2 linked regions of the Pelodiscus sinensis genome follow. The protein of the gene in region 1 binds, or shares a complex with, the protein of each later gene. Links are inferred from orthologs where the notes say so. Each region holds a gene or a part of one and is shown on either strand. Other genes may lie near its edges.

Evidence for each region.
Region 2: POLR3C (region 1) and POLR3D share a complex: the UniProt entries of both Homo sapiens proteins name them as parts of the RNA polymerase III complex. The link is inferred for Pelodiscus sinensis from reciprocal best matches to the Homo sapiens genes POLR3C and POLR3D.

What each region holds. Positions count from the first base shown.
Region 1 is NC_134734.1:19,515,879-19,523,035, forward strand, and holds the start of POLR3C (DNA-directed RNA polymerase III subunit RPC3), read right to left. Parts: upstream 3,025-7,157; 5' UTR 2,843-3,024; intron 2,491-2,842; exon of another isoform or gene 1,961-2,490; intron 1,866-1,960; 5' UTR 1,846-1,865; coding exon 1,699-1,845; intron 947-1,698; coding exon 691-946; intron 1-690. Other genes in the region: E3 ubiquitin-protein ligase RNF115, read left to right, coding at 3,313-3,399. UniProt on the Homo sapiens protein: DNA-dependent RNA polymerase catalyzes the transcription of DNA into RNA using the four ribonucleoside triphosphates as substrates.
Region 2 is NC_134738.1:11,408,591-11,415,682, forward strand, and holds the start of POLR3D (DNA-directed RNA polymerase III subunit RPC4), read right to left. Parts: upstream 3,006-7,092; 5' UTR 2,870-3,005; intron 827-2,869; 5' UTR 814-826; coding exon 649-813; intron 1-648. UniProt on the Homo sapiens protein: DNA-dependent RNA polymerase catalyzes the transcription of DNA into RNA using the four ribonucleoside triphosphates as substrates.

The DNA of each region.
Region 1 (7,157 bases):
GAGCACAGGGTTAGCCTGATAACCAGTGTTTACACTCTGGAATCTGTATAGCACTTGTCATTTGGTTAAATGTTTTTATGCCCACTGTACAGGTGGGGAAGCTGAGGCATAGCAAGGGGGTCTCTCTAGGTCATACAGTGAGCCAGTGGTAGAGCAGAGAATGGACTCCCAGGTCTCTCTACCATGCTGTCTCTACACATGTCTACTGAGAGAAAAAGAGAGTAAAACACACAGCAAAATAAATCATAGTCAAATGGTCTGAGCACAGGCCTGGGAGCTAATTCTGTTCCCAGCTTTGACAGTGATTCATTGTTTGAGCTTTGGCAGTGCCTGCTTCGCCTCGTGCCTCAGTTTCCACATGCTATAGCATGTGGATCACAATACTGATCTCTCCTGAAAATGCTTGGAAGCATCAGTGTTGTGTACTGCCTCTTGAAGATGCTCCATCCGGACCTGACCTAAAGCCCCCTGAAGTCAATGGAAAGATTCCCATTTACTTCAGTGGACTTTAGACCAGGCCCTCCATCCAGCTGGAAGCCATCCAATCCCCTTTCGTTGTGTACAGAACTTGAACACTGTGGTAGCATGAAGCATCAGCTCAGCAGCCTCAAAACTTGCCAGATAGATAAGGCACTGCAGCAAAAGATTTCCGCTCCCTTTTCAAGCTGTCTCCACACCCCACTGGCTCACCCTCCATAGTTTCCGTCAGCCTGTCTGCAACCTTCTGCACCACAGCGCTCATGGTCATTTTGCCGTTCAGCAGCAGCTCCTCCACAATCAATTCACCCATGTCGCTGTAGAGGGTCTTGGCAGTATAGATGTAACGTGGATACCGCAGGATCCTCAGCACCCGACTGCACAGAGCTTCGTACTCCACAATGCCTCGCTTCTGCAGCTGGTAGGTCACCAGGTTATGTTGAATGAGGACACAGAGAGCTTTCTTAACCTGCACATGCCAGAGAAAGGAATGAGAGCCGTACTTGGGGGAAAATCAACCCTCATGCTTGAGGTCTGATCACCTCAAGGATCAGGAAGGGAATGCCCTCCCCTCCTATATTTAGGTGCTTTAGCTCCATCCATAGTCTCAGGAAGGGCCATTAATTTCCCAATTAGCACTGATCATTAACAATGAAAGATAAAGCTACTGAGCATTCACCAGATCATCTTTATTTGGAAGAGAGCAGGGTGATGTTTGACATTCCTCAGGGGCTAACAGAATTAAGAGAAGAAGAAACCTGGGAGATCTTGTCCTAATCAAGGCAGGGCCTGGGAATCTCAACTGTAGTCCTGACTCACAGTGCAACTTTAAGCAAGTAAGCTTCACTTCCTTATTCTTTACAAGCTGCACTAACTTCATCTCTTGTCCTCTCCACACTCTGTTACACTAAATTAGACCACCAGCCTTCCCTTCTGGGGAGAGGTAAGAGCTCAGAACCAATCTGTTAAAGCCAATGACAAAACTCCCATGGATTGCAATTGGTACTGTTAAAGAAACAGATTTGGTTTTAAGGAGACATGTTCAAATTCTAATTTGCCTTTTGCAAACGCATTTGGAATAACAGAATCCTTCAGGAGGCCTAGAAATGGTGACAGACAAGTTTTAATGAGCAAATAATAGTTCAGTCAGCTCTGCTGAGTAGCATTTATCTAGCATCTGTGATCCAAGGGAGGATAACTCCTAGCGGATTCTAGACATACCTGATCTAGCAACATCCCTGTGTCCTTGGCAATCACTCTCAGTGGCTGGCTGCCTGTTTTGATAAGGTGAGTCCCTATCTTTTCCACGATCTCGCCAAAATGTTCTTGCAGCAGGAGGGAACAGAGTTTAATTTCTGCTTGAGTCATCTTGCCGTCAAATTAAAATACTAGAAGGATATGGGGGAAAAACATTTATTAAAATTCTTATCAGGTGAGACAGGAGAGTGCAGGAAATGTGCTGGTGGGACGCAAAGATTTTCACCTCTCAAGTCGCCTGTTTGATTTGGTCTATCAGCAGAGACCAAAAGTTGTTCCCAATTCAGGCTTGAGAGGAATGCAGTGGGTTCGAGGCTCAGCTCAAATAAAAAATGCCTTCACAGCCAGTCCGCTTTAAGTCAAACCGGGCAGGCACGCAAGCACCCCCAGCAAGCACCGAATGAGCCACGGTGACGAAACACAGACTATCCCCCGAGATGATCCCGGCAGGGCAGAGTGGGGGAAACGTGTCACACGCTTCCCTAGGGCTGCGCCAGTTCCGCAGGGAATCGGGCTCGCCAGTGGGGTGGCCGGGTGTTGAACTGGACAGTCCAGGATTTGAGCCTTCTGTGGGGGAACCCAATGGAGACAATAGAACGGAGACAAGGGACGGGTCCGGTCTTTGCTACACGAGAGGCCGCGGGCATTGTGACGTCATGGACATTGTGACGTCACGTCCAGGGTTTCTGTGGAAACCACCTGGCAACCCTGCTGGGCCGTTGGGCGTTGATTTTAAAATGGGGCCTGCCCCGTGGGCAGCACTAGGGGAGCTAACGAACCCCTGGGGGGAGGGTAGCACGGGGGGGGGAAGGAGAAAGCGGCGGGGGGGGGGGGTCTAGCGAAGCCAAGGACCGGCGGGCGGGCGCCGAGAGCTCAGCAAACAGCCCTTCGCGGCTCAGCGGTGCGGCCCCATGGCCAGGACAGGGCGCCCCCTCGGCGGCGGGATGCTCGAGCTCCGCTGCCCGACCTTGGACGGTGACAGGGATGAGCCGGCATGGGGCTGGGGGGCAGGCCGCTCCGGCTGCCTTCATGGAGCGGCCTCCACAGTTCCTTGCCCCCCCCGGCCAGGCAGAGCCCCCTCCCCCGTTGCCTCAGGGCTCCCACTCACCTGGGATCTCAAATTGGGGAGGGGAGACGCCTAGGCCCCTGCGGCAACCATAGCAACCCCTTCCACTTCCGGCTCAACGCGGGTTACTTCCGGTCGCCTGCCATGGCTGCGATCCGCCCTGGAGGCCGTCAGGGCTACAGCGCCGCTCTACCCGCCCCCCGCCAGGCTCGTTGGTTGCGCATGCGCATCGGCGGAGTTTACGGCGCGACGCTCTATCCTCCCCCTTCCGCCTGGTCTCGCTGGGACTTGGGACACGGAAGAAGCGAGGGGCGCCGCTCTACCCTGCAGTTCTCTCCTTGCTCTGGCGTGGCGGAGGCCTGACTGCTTCCTACCCCGGCCCAGCGGAGCACCAGCGAGTAGGCGGAAGCGGGCGGCTAGAGCGGCCCCCGCCGCTCTATCCGTGCGGGCCCTAGTCGCGGCCCGCGGAGGACTGACGGCAGGCAGGGAGCCGGGGGAGGGGGAGAGAGAAGATGGCGGAGGCCTCGGCAGCGGCCGCCGTGTCCCAGCATCGCTTCTTCTGCCACAGCTGCAAGGGGGAGGTCAGCCCCAAGCTGCCGGTAAGGGGCGGGGCGCGGACCCCTCGTCCCCCGCGGGGGGGGCCCTGCACCCCCCATGGAGGGGGGCCAACCCCGATCCCCCCCCCAGGGGCGCAGGCCGGGGGAGCGTTCAGCCCCTGTCCTCGGGGCAGCGGGGCCAGGCGGGAGAGGCGCCGCCCCCGCCCCTCGCATGAGAAGGGGGGGCTGAAACCCTGTCACCGTGCAGGGGGAGGGGGCTGCACCCCCCCCCCCCATCTGCCCTTCACTAGGGAAGCAGGAAGTGCGAGGCCAGTCCCCAGTGTCCCGGGGGGGGTCAACTCCTCCCCCCCCCAGGTAATCCCTGGCCTGAGGCTTCTTTCCCCCCTCTCTGTCCTGCCCTGGGGGGCACTGGAAGGGGAGGGGGGCACTGGAAGGGGAGGTCTTCAGCCCCCAGTTGTCCTCCAAAGAGGTGACAATGCAAAGGGCTCCCTGCCCCGCTTCAGGCCGAGAGGTGAAACCTCAAGCTTCCCTGGCCACTAAGGTGTGGGGTAGGGATGTTAGATTTTGGTTAATTGACTAGTCGATTGACCTCATGAATTGTTATCGGTTACTCGACTATTCTATGGCCCCGGGGAGTGGGGCCGGCAGCCAGTGCGCTCTGGCCCAACTCCCAAGGAGTCCCCTGCCACGCCGCGCTGCTACCTCTGTATCAGAGGTAGCCATGTGGACTGCCAGGCGGGAGCTGGTCCGCAAGGGGAGCTGGTTTAAAAACCAGCTTCCCTTGTAGCCCCAAACCTTTGATACAGAGGCAGCAGCGTGGGGTGACAGCAGACCCTGTCCAGCAGGTGGGGGAGAGGGGGATCTGAGCTCCTGGACCCAGTGCGAGCTGGAACTGAGCCAGGCTGCTGGCCCCGGCTGCTAAAAAATGTACCTGGGAGGCTGGGGGGGGGAGAAATGCGTGTAGTCTATAGCATTAGTCGATAAGGTTTTGCTTATTGGTTAATCGACTACGCTATTACATCCCCAGCTGGGAGGGCGTATATCCTAATCCTCCCTATGGAGAGAAGGGGAAGAGACACTTGTAGGCACATCAGGCACTTACCCCAGAAAGCAGAAGGCACCTCTCTCCTGATGCTCTAAGAGCCCCTTTGGGAACGTAGGGATGGTTAAACCCTTCTGAGAGTGGAGATAAACCATAGCTCACCCTTCACAGTGGCTCCAGGCCTGCTAGATAGCAAGGGCACCCATTCTCTCTAATGTTGCAGGAAAGCCTCAGGGGAGAGGCTCAGTGGCATAGAATTGTAGAACTGGAAGGGGCCTCAAGAGGTCATCTAGCTCGGTCTACAACATCAAGGGAGGACTCCCAATTCCTACAGTGAGAAGAGCAAATTTCAGTTCCGCAGACCAAGGATAAGTAGAGGCTGAAGCACCGGAGCTCCTCCTCATGCCGTTGGAGAAGAGTTTTCCTTTTGAGTACCCTCTCTGGACATGTGTATCCTAGTAAAATAGTCCTGTATCTCGTTAGAGTTGGTGGTATGTGTGGTGTATTAGATGGACTGTCACAAGCAACCCCGGCACTTATGCAATAGGATGAAGGAGGTGGGTGGACCAATCCAATCTGTGGTCTCCATTTAGATCCAAAATGGTTAGTCAGAGGTTGTCCTTATGTTCCTGATGTTCTAGTTACATCACACACCACAGCTTGGCGACTTCCTGGCTGTGGAGATGTCCTGGCGAAGCAGGAGGCTATTTGAGGAAAGGAACAGATAATGTAGCTTGGCCAGATTAGATCAGACACATAATATCTTTTTTCCTGATATATGGGAACGTGTGGAGATTCTCTGTTGAAAGGGTGCCTCAGTTTCCCCACCTGTAAAATTAGACTATCTACCTACCTCCTGAGAGAGCAGGTGTAGGAAGATTGTAAGGCTTTTAATATTTGTGATGCACTTTAAGATTCTTGGATGAAAGAACTTAATGAAGAGCAAGCTGCTGTAGCAAAACCTCATCAATCTGGATCCTGAAACAGATGCTGTCCTCCAATTCCTGGGTATTTCATAGATGATGGACAGCTTTTAGTTATCCAGACTGATTCAGGGTCATACTGACATTTAGGTAAATGAGATGGTGCTGTACTATTGCTTTTCCCTTCTGCACCATGAAAGGAGGTAAGAGGATGCTTTGGAGATTTTTGTTTTACTTTAAAAATCATTCATACATGACAGGAATGATGAGCCAGAAAATTTCATTAGCTTCCATTACAGGTAGCTCACCCCTCTGCAACTGCATATAGTCCTGTTGAGATTGGTGCTTGTCCATCCGAAATGCAAATTGATCCTTTAGCTCTCTGTTTGCAAACTCACCCTGCATCCCCTCAAGGTAGTAGCCCAGCTTTCTGGTATTTTCTCTTCTCTTTCTCCCTCCCAAATCATGTTCGACTCCCTCTTTATGCCTCTCGCCTCTGTTGCTGACTTAAGCAGTTTTCTCTCCTATGTTACAACTGTCCTTTTGTTATAAAGCAATGCTGCCCTAAATTGCTCACAACTAATTCTCTTCCGTAACTGGGATTCAGGATTTCCTGATGCCATTAGTGAGTTTTTTGGAACAAGAACTCCGGGCCCATGTATGAGATACATTGTTCAAATATTCACAGTATAAACATGTGAGCATTGACTGCCTCTTTTCTTTTGCCCTGTTGTATATTTCTATAAGCATTCCTACCCAGGCCTCTTTATTTCTAAGTCAGAGTCTTCAGTTTTGCTCTGCATGGGCATTAGACATCCTGGACTCTTTATAAGATTAATGGTTTGACTTGGCTTTTATTGTTATAATTAGGAGCACCCAGAACCCTAACTGGGATCAGGGCAGCATTGTGCTAGTCCTCTCCCACTCTGTAGTTGGGAACTGTGTTGTTCTCTTGAACAACTGCTGTCTTCACCCCGCGGGAGATGGTGTGTCACAGCATTCAGGTATTCTGGAGGATGATATGGACTCTAAAAATGTGAGCTATTATTACCCAGACTTTATAAATAATATGTTCAGGATTTATACCTGCCAAACCAATGAATTGTTTCACTTTTTCAACCTCTCCAGTATTGGGGTGACAACCTCTTTATCTTCTGCTGTTCCTGTCGCACACAACCTGATGGGAACCTGCTTGAATTAAGGATCACCCCTCTTTCAGTCAGCTCCTCAAGTTCTGGGGGGAGCAAGAGATATCCCATCATGCTCCAGACAACCAGTAATGTCATGACAAGGCAGGTCAGGGCCTATTTCTGAAGTAAGACTCTCTTATGCTCTTTTGAAAGCCTGTCATTGTGAATCAGCCTGTGTAAACTTTCCTTAAGGAGCGTGAAACTGGGAGGATAACTCTTTAGTTCTAAAGTTGACTTGGGCTCTGACTCGCTTTGTAGCATTGGCCATGTCACTTCCTTGCTTTGTGCCTCAAGTTTCCCCATCTGTAAAATGTGGCAAGCATTGGTTTCATGGGGCAATGGGCTGATGTTTGCAAAGGGCTACATTAGGATTTTATTTCAGATCTCTGAATTGTCCAGTAGAAGTCCACGGACCTGTTTATTTCTAGGGTGAGGTAGCTCAGACAGTGACTTGGACCTGGTCTACACTCAAAACGGGTCAACGTAGCTGCTTCACTCAGGGCTGTAAAAAGTTTCCTGCCCTGAGCACTGTGGTTAGGTTGACCTGAACCCTGGTGTAGTTGCAGCTGGGTCGACAGAAGGATTCTCCTGTCAACTTAGCTGCTGCCATTCTAGAGATGTTACCTGTTTTGATGGAAAACCCAT
Region 2 (7,092 bases), on another chromosome or scaffold:
CCCACTTTCCAAATGGGAAAAGGAAACAGAAAGTGCCAAGGCCTCAGAACGAGTTAGTGTCAGAGAAGCGTTCTGATCGCTCCAACAACTATTCTGCACAGGAATTGGCATATCAGATCACAGCAAGAGTCAACATAGCGTCATCTCCTCCTTATCTGCACAGGAAGGCGTGAGCCATTCCAAAACGGACAACTTACTTTTTAACCCAAGCAGTTTGTGTTTAGCGTATGCCCCTTCCTCCAGGCAGCAAGATACAAAGCACAAGTGGACACAAACTATTGTAATTAAAAAAAATTGGGTCTCTAAGCTCTTGCGTGTCAGTAGGAGGCAGCTTTTGTTAGACTCTGAAAATGAGCCAAGAACAATTAGCAGCATCCTTCAGAGAAGCGTCTGCGCAACAGGATTTAAGCAGGTCTGTTGAGGGGGGCAAACCCTTTGGAGCAGTAACTATGTGTTTTCAGTCATTAGTACAGCCCCAAATCATGGATATTACAGGCTAGATCCAGCACTTGGTAAAGTCAGTGGTACTGATCCCGGGGGGTGCAGGATAAGGTCTTATAAATTGAGATCAAATGTATTCTACGGGCCACTCATTTGGTTAAAGAAAGTCAGGAGAGGAGTCTCGTCTGGGCGATCGGGGACACTTACCTTTTTTACGCCTCCGAGGGTAAGGTCTCGGGAACGGATGGAGGGGAGGCGCCCAGGCGTAATTGGGGTGGCAGGTCTCCTCCCTATCAGCCCTCGTGCCCCAGGGAGTCCAGGCCGGAGGCTGCCTGGGTTGCCAGCATCGTTGCCTGAACTCCCCTCCGACATCCTTTCCAGTTACCTGGGCAGGAGAGAGATCAGTGGGAATGTGGCTGAAACGTCCAGCAGCCCAAAGAGCTGATCCCTAGAAACCCATTTCCTGAGCAGCTTTCATGATTCCTTCACTCTCCAGACACCGCGCAGTCAGGAGGAGGAACTGGTTGCAATTGAGAGGAAAGGGAATAAGGATAACTGCTAGGACAATGCATTAACAAGCACAAGAGACAAAGGGGACCCAAGATACCCAGGGGATGACTAATTGAAGGGCCCGGGTGGGGAGGGGCAGGGAAGGTGTATTGATCACAGGACAGCCTGAGCTCTGTAGGTGATCTGCCTTTTGCTGACTTGGGGACCAGCTCCCCCCACAGGGGATCAGAAATAAGGGCCCACACACCCAGGCCTCACTGTATCAGGGCTCAGAGCCACCTCCCACCTGGAACCTTTGCTGTACTGGGACGGAGACCCCCCCACCCTGTCACATAGGCTTGGACACCTTTCCTTCTCCCCACAGGCAGGGGCCCAGTGACCTTCCAGAGCCCATGCTAAAAGGGAACACGCCTTCCCCGCAGCAGAAGGAGCTGCCCCTGTCTTCAGACCCCCCACTATAGGAGTTCAACACCCACCAGCAAAGGGCTCAGACCCATCCCTTTCAAGGCTTACCCCATCTCTACGCACCGTCCCATAGGGAGCTCTGACCCCACCCATCGTCAGGCTCAAACCCCCCTCCCAGCCTCCAAACCCACTCCCATAGGAAGCTCAATCCCTCCTCCAGGTGAACACCCCCCATGGGCTCAGTGCCCCCCAGTCCAGATCCCCCCAGGGCTCAGCCTCCCAGCTCAGGCTGTCCTTTTTCTGTAGGTGATCTGCCTTTTGCTGGCTTGGGGATCAGCTCCCCCCCAGGGCTCAGCCCCCCCTCTCCAGTCCAGACCCCACCAGGACTCAGCCCCTCTCCCCGGGCTCAGCCCCCCCAGTCCAGATCCCCCCACAGGGCTCATCCTCCCCCCATCCAGACACCCTCCCCCCCGGGGCTCAGACCCCCCCACATCCCCCAGTCCAGTTTCCCTCCCCCCCGGGCTCAGCCCCCCCCCCCCAGTCCAGACTCCCTCCCCCCCCGGGCTCAGCCCCCCCCCCAGTCCAGACTCCCCCCCCCCCGGGCTCAGCCCCCCCCCCAGTCCAGACTCCCCCCCCCCCCGGGCTCAGCCCCCCCCCAGTCCAGACTCCCCCCCCCGGGGCTCAGTCCCCCCCCCCGGGCTCAGCCCCTCCCCCCCAGTCCAGACTCCCTCCCCCCCCGGGCTCAGCCCCGCCACCCAGTCCAGACTCCCTCCCCCCCCGGGCTCAGCCCCCCCCCCAGTCCAGACTCCCCCCCCCCCCGGGCTCAGCCCCCCCCCCCAGTCCAGACTCCCTCCCCCCCCGGGCTCAGCCCCGCCACCCAGTCCAGACTCCCCCCCCCCCCCCCGGGCTCAGCCCCTCCCCCCAGTCCAGACTCCCCCCCCCCCCGGGCTCAGCCCCTCCCCCCCAGTCCAGACTCCCCCCCCCCCCCCGGGCTCAGCCCCTCCCCCCCAGTCCAGACTCCCCCCCCCCCCGGGCTCAGCCCCTCCCCCCCAGTCCAGACTCCCCCCCCCCGGGCTCAGCCCCCCCCCGGTCCAGACTCCCCCCCGGTCCAGACTCCCCCCCCCCGGGCTCAGCCCCCCCCCAGTCCAGACTCCCTCCCCCCCCCGGGCTCAGCCCCGCCACCCAGTCCAGACTCCCCCCCCCCCGGGCTCAGCCCCTCCCCCCCAGTCCAGACTCCCTCCCCCCCCGGGCTCAGACCCCCCCACATCCCCCAGTCCAGACTCCCTCCCCCCCGGGCTCAGCCCCCCCCCCAGTCCAGACTCCCTCCCCCCCCGGGCTCAGCCCCTCCCCCCCAGTCCAGACTCCCTCCCCCCCCCCCCGGGCTCAGCCCCGCCACCCAGTCCAGACTCCCCCCCCCCCCCCGGGCTCAGCCCTCCCCCCAGTCCAGACTCCCCCCCCCCCGGGCTCAGCCCCCCCTCCAGTCCAGATTCCCGCCCCCCCCCCCGTCTCCTACCCCGGCCTCGCCCAGCAGCAGCCAGGAGGACGCTTGGTCCCAGCCTGGACCTTTCAACTCCAGCGCGCACGCGTACGCCGGCCCGCCGCCATTTTTGTGCGGGGCAGCGAAAACCGGAAGGACTCCGGCCGCGCCGCCATCTTTGTGCAGGGCGCACTCGCGCCAGGGGGGGGAAAACCGAGCGGGCCGCCATCTTGGTGAGGGGCGACCTCTGGCCTGGAGGAAGGGGCCGCCATCTTGGTGAGGGGCGCTCCCCCTCCCCCACTCCCTGGGGACAAGGGAGCTGCTAGTGGGCAGGGAGGGAAACTGAGGCAGGGTGCTAAAGGCAATGAGTGGGCCCATCCAGCAGAGGACCCAGGAGTCCAGACTCTTCTGTCCTGCATAAGTGGTGCTGCTGGCCCCACCGTCCCCCTGCCAGCCCCCCGGAGCACCCTAGGCCATGAGGATGCCCCAGGGCGGGGGAAGCTGCTAGATGCTGACCCTGTGTTGCGAGTTGGGTTTTAAGCAGAGTCCGGCCAGGGCCTGGATTGCAGAGCCTTTCTTTCCCTTTGGGGGCTTCGTCAGCTGGGAGCAAACTCTCACGTTGACCTGCGAGCCCCGGATGCCCCTCTTCTCATTCTTTGCAAGGGTGTTGCCAACTCTTGTGGTTTTTATTGCCAGGCATGAGCAACGCTCCCCCTTGTTTGCCACCCACGTGCAGGATAAATGTTGTTACGTGCACCCAAGCATGTATGGATGTGCACCACCAGTAGACACGCACCCTGCCAGCTGTGGGAGTAACCACACTAGGGCTGCATCTAGACTGGCATGATTTTGCGCAAATACTTTTAACGGAAAAGTTTTTCCATTAAAAGTATTTGCGCAAGAGAGCATCTATACTGGCATGTGCCTTTGCGCAAAAGATTTGCTTTTGAGCAAAAGCATCCATGCCAGCGTAGAAGCTCTCTTGTGCAAGAAAGCTCCGATGGCCATTTTAGCCATTGGGCTTTCTTGCGCAAGAAATTAACTTGGCTGTCTACACTAGCCCTCTTGCACAAAAACAGTTGCGCAAGAGGGCTTATCCCTGAGCGGGAGCGTCGGAGTATTTGCGCAAGAACCACTGATTTTGTACAGTACAAAGTCAGTGTTCTTGCGCAAATACTCGCGGCCGGTGTAGGCAGGTGGCAAGATTTTGCGCAAAAGCAGGTGCTTTTGCGCAAAATCTTGCCAGTCTAGACACAGCTTCGGTGTGTGGTTATTCTCCGCTTCAGAGATCCTAGGTTCAAATCCGCCTTGTGGCGGTTACATGGGCTATCTGCTAATCAGCTGGGCAGCATTTGAATCTTTCCTAGGTGGCTGCACAGCTTAAAGGGAAGATTGGTCTTGAGCTATTTATTGTTTTTCTTACACACCCCAGCTTCTGGAGGATACTAGTTACATAAGATTTCAATAATTGATTTTAAGTTTAAAGAAAAAATACCTTTCAAGCTCTCATTTTGGAGAAAAGCTTGACAACGTAACCTGAATGCAACCCAAAAACTCAGAAACCAAAACATCTTAAAAAAAAAATCTCCTGATTTTCTCCAGGGACTGGCTCGTGATTTTCAAATGCTTGGGGTTGCAAATACTTGCAATTTTACACCCATACAGCTCTATGCTCAGACACAATTTTGCAAACCCACACGCTTCACAGATTACCTGGTTTCCAGGAGGCAGCCAAGCAGCTATCTGTTGAAGTCTGGTACATCGAATTATTTGACCCCATAAAACTGGGCCTGTAATTATTTGCTGGAGAAAAGCCCAAAGTTGCTTTTCAAAATCAAGCCCCAGCTTTGTAATTATCCTTGACGCCTCTCTGTGGCTGCTGCCTGCTAGGAAACAGCCTCAGGTATCACCTCACTAGTGCTAAGTGAAAATAGAAAAATCTCTAGTGTTTCGGGGCTTTAATTTAACACCTCTGCAGGAGAGGAGGGAGGGAGGCAATGCAAGAGGGCTCTCCAGGCCTAAGGGAAAATCCCACTAGCTGAAATTGTTGCTATAGTATTCATTTTCACACATAAAGAGAAAGGTGTTTTTTAAACCAGCCTCTCAGAAAAGCAGAGCTCCTTCATTACATCTGTTGTGCCATAAAACTGCAGTAATGGAGCATGTTAACACTTGAGGCGAAGAGCGGAAAGTTGAAGATGGATGCTGATTTTTCCTGCAGTTTCCACACCATCCCTGCTAGGGTTGCCAGACGGTTTCAACAAAAATACCGGACACTCTTGACATTACATCACAGTCTACATTGCATCTTATTTAGAAAACACCGGGCAGTTCTATTTTCTCATTTCTATTTTCTCAATTTGTTTCCCAAACAGAAAGCTCAAATACTGGGCTGTCCGGTTCAAAACCAGACACCTGGCAACCCAAGTCTCTGCAGCCACAGTGAACCCCTGAACATGCCCTTAACAGGAGGGAAGGGAGAACTCATTTGGCCCAAATTGGAGCCCCTGTTCTAGCTTTAGAAAAGGATTTCTGAGGCTCTGCTTATTAGCTGTGGCCAAACACAAATTGGGGACTGTTGTATGATTTCCTTTGTTAAATCTTGTTTTGTAAGAGGCCTAGAAGCCCGTCGAGAATTATTTTCAAATAAGAATCTGTATTATCTGCGTAGCACAAGCTTATAATTAGAAATAGATGCCTGGAGTTACACTTTGATTTCACGGTTCCTTGTGTAAATCTGGAGTAACTCCACTGAAACAAATAGAGAGATCCTGTGTTGACACCGGTGTAAAGGAGAACAGCGTAGCTCATCCTTTTCAGTAAGAGTTTTCTTGGAAAATCAAGGTATGATAAGACCTGCTCAATGGAGCTTTATGCTGATTTGCATCAGCTGAAAATCTGCCCACGGGTGCCTAGTTAGAGAAGGGACGTTTTGCAAAACTCTCAAAAGTTTCACAGAGCCACACCTACAAAAAAGCTTCCCAGAGCAGTGTTTCCCAAATGCATTTTCCATGGAACCCTTTTCAGCTTAAAAGAATTTCAAGGAACCCCTAGGGTTGCCAGGGTAAAATTTGTCAAGCAAAAAAAAAGACCCACCAGAATTGGTCGAGAAAAAAAAAACTGCAAAATAGACTCCGTCTCTTTAAGAAGGGGCGGGGGAGTGCCTCTTTTTTGCGGAACCCTTACTTTCCCTTCATGGAACCCCAGGGTTCCACGGAGCACCGATTGGGACACACTGTCCTAGAGGTTTGATGGGCTCTCATACCCCTCTAATTAGCCTTCATTTCCATTATGCCCTGTTGGTGGGGGACAGAACACAGAGAGGAAATGTCAGGTTTACAGAACCATCACATTTGCTCCACAGGTGAATTCTCCCCTGTGCTGCAGGCCAGTCCAAGGTCCGTGAACCACTTTGGGTCTCCTTGGTATGAATGAATGAAACTAAAAGGGCAGCAGGTTTAAAATAAAATTAAAGGAAGTTCTTCTTCACACAGTGCATAGTCAATCTGTGGAACTCCTTGCCTGAGGAGGCGGTGAAGGCTAGGACTATCACAGGGTTTAAAAGAGAACTAGATACGTTCATGGAGGTTAAGTCCATTCATGGCTATTAGCCAGTATGGGTAAGGAATGGTGTCCCTGGCTTCTGTTTGTCAGAGGGTGGAGATGGATGGCAGGAGAGAGATCGCTTGATCATTTCCTGTTTGGTTCACTCCCTCTGGGGTATCTGCCATTGGCCACTGTGGGCAGACAGGATACTGGGCTGGATGGACCTTTGGTCTGACCCAGTCTGGCCGTTCTTATGTTCTTATGTAATGAATGGGTCACTTTCACCCATCCAGAAGCGTGATAGAAATGTAGCCGTGTTAGTCTGGTGTAGCTGAAACAAAACACAGGACTATGTAGCACTTTAAAGACTAACAAGATGGTTTATTAGGTGAGGAGCTTCCGTGGGCCAGACCCACTTCCTCAGATCAAATAGTGGAAGAAATTGTCACAACTAAATATACCAAAGGGATACAATTAAAAAAATGAACACATATGAAAAGGACAAATCAAATTTCAGAACAGAAGGGGGATGGGGGATCCTACCCATTACACGGATAGCTTCCCCAATTATCACCTCTAATATCATTAGCTCACAGACATTTACCTCCCCCCCCCCCATCCCATCCCCCTTCTGTTCTGAAATGTGATTTGTCCTTTTCATATGTGTTCATTTTTTTCATTGTATCCCTTTGGTATATATGGTTGTGACAATT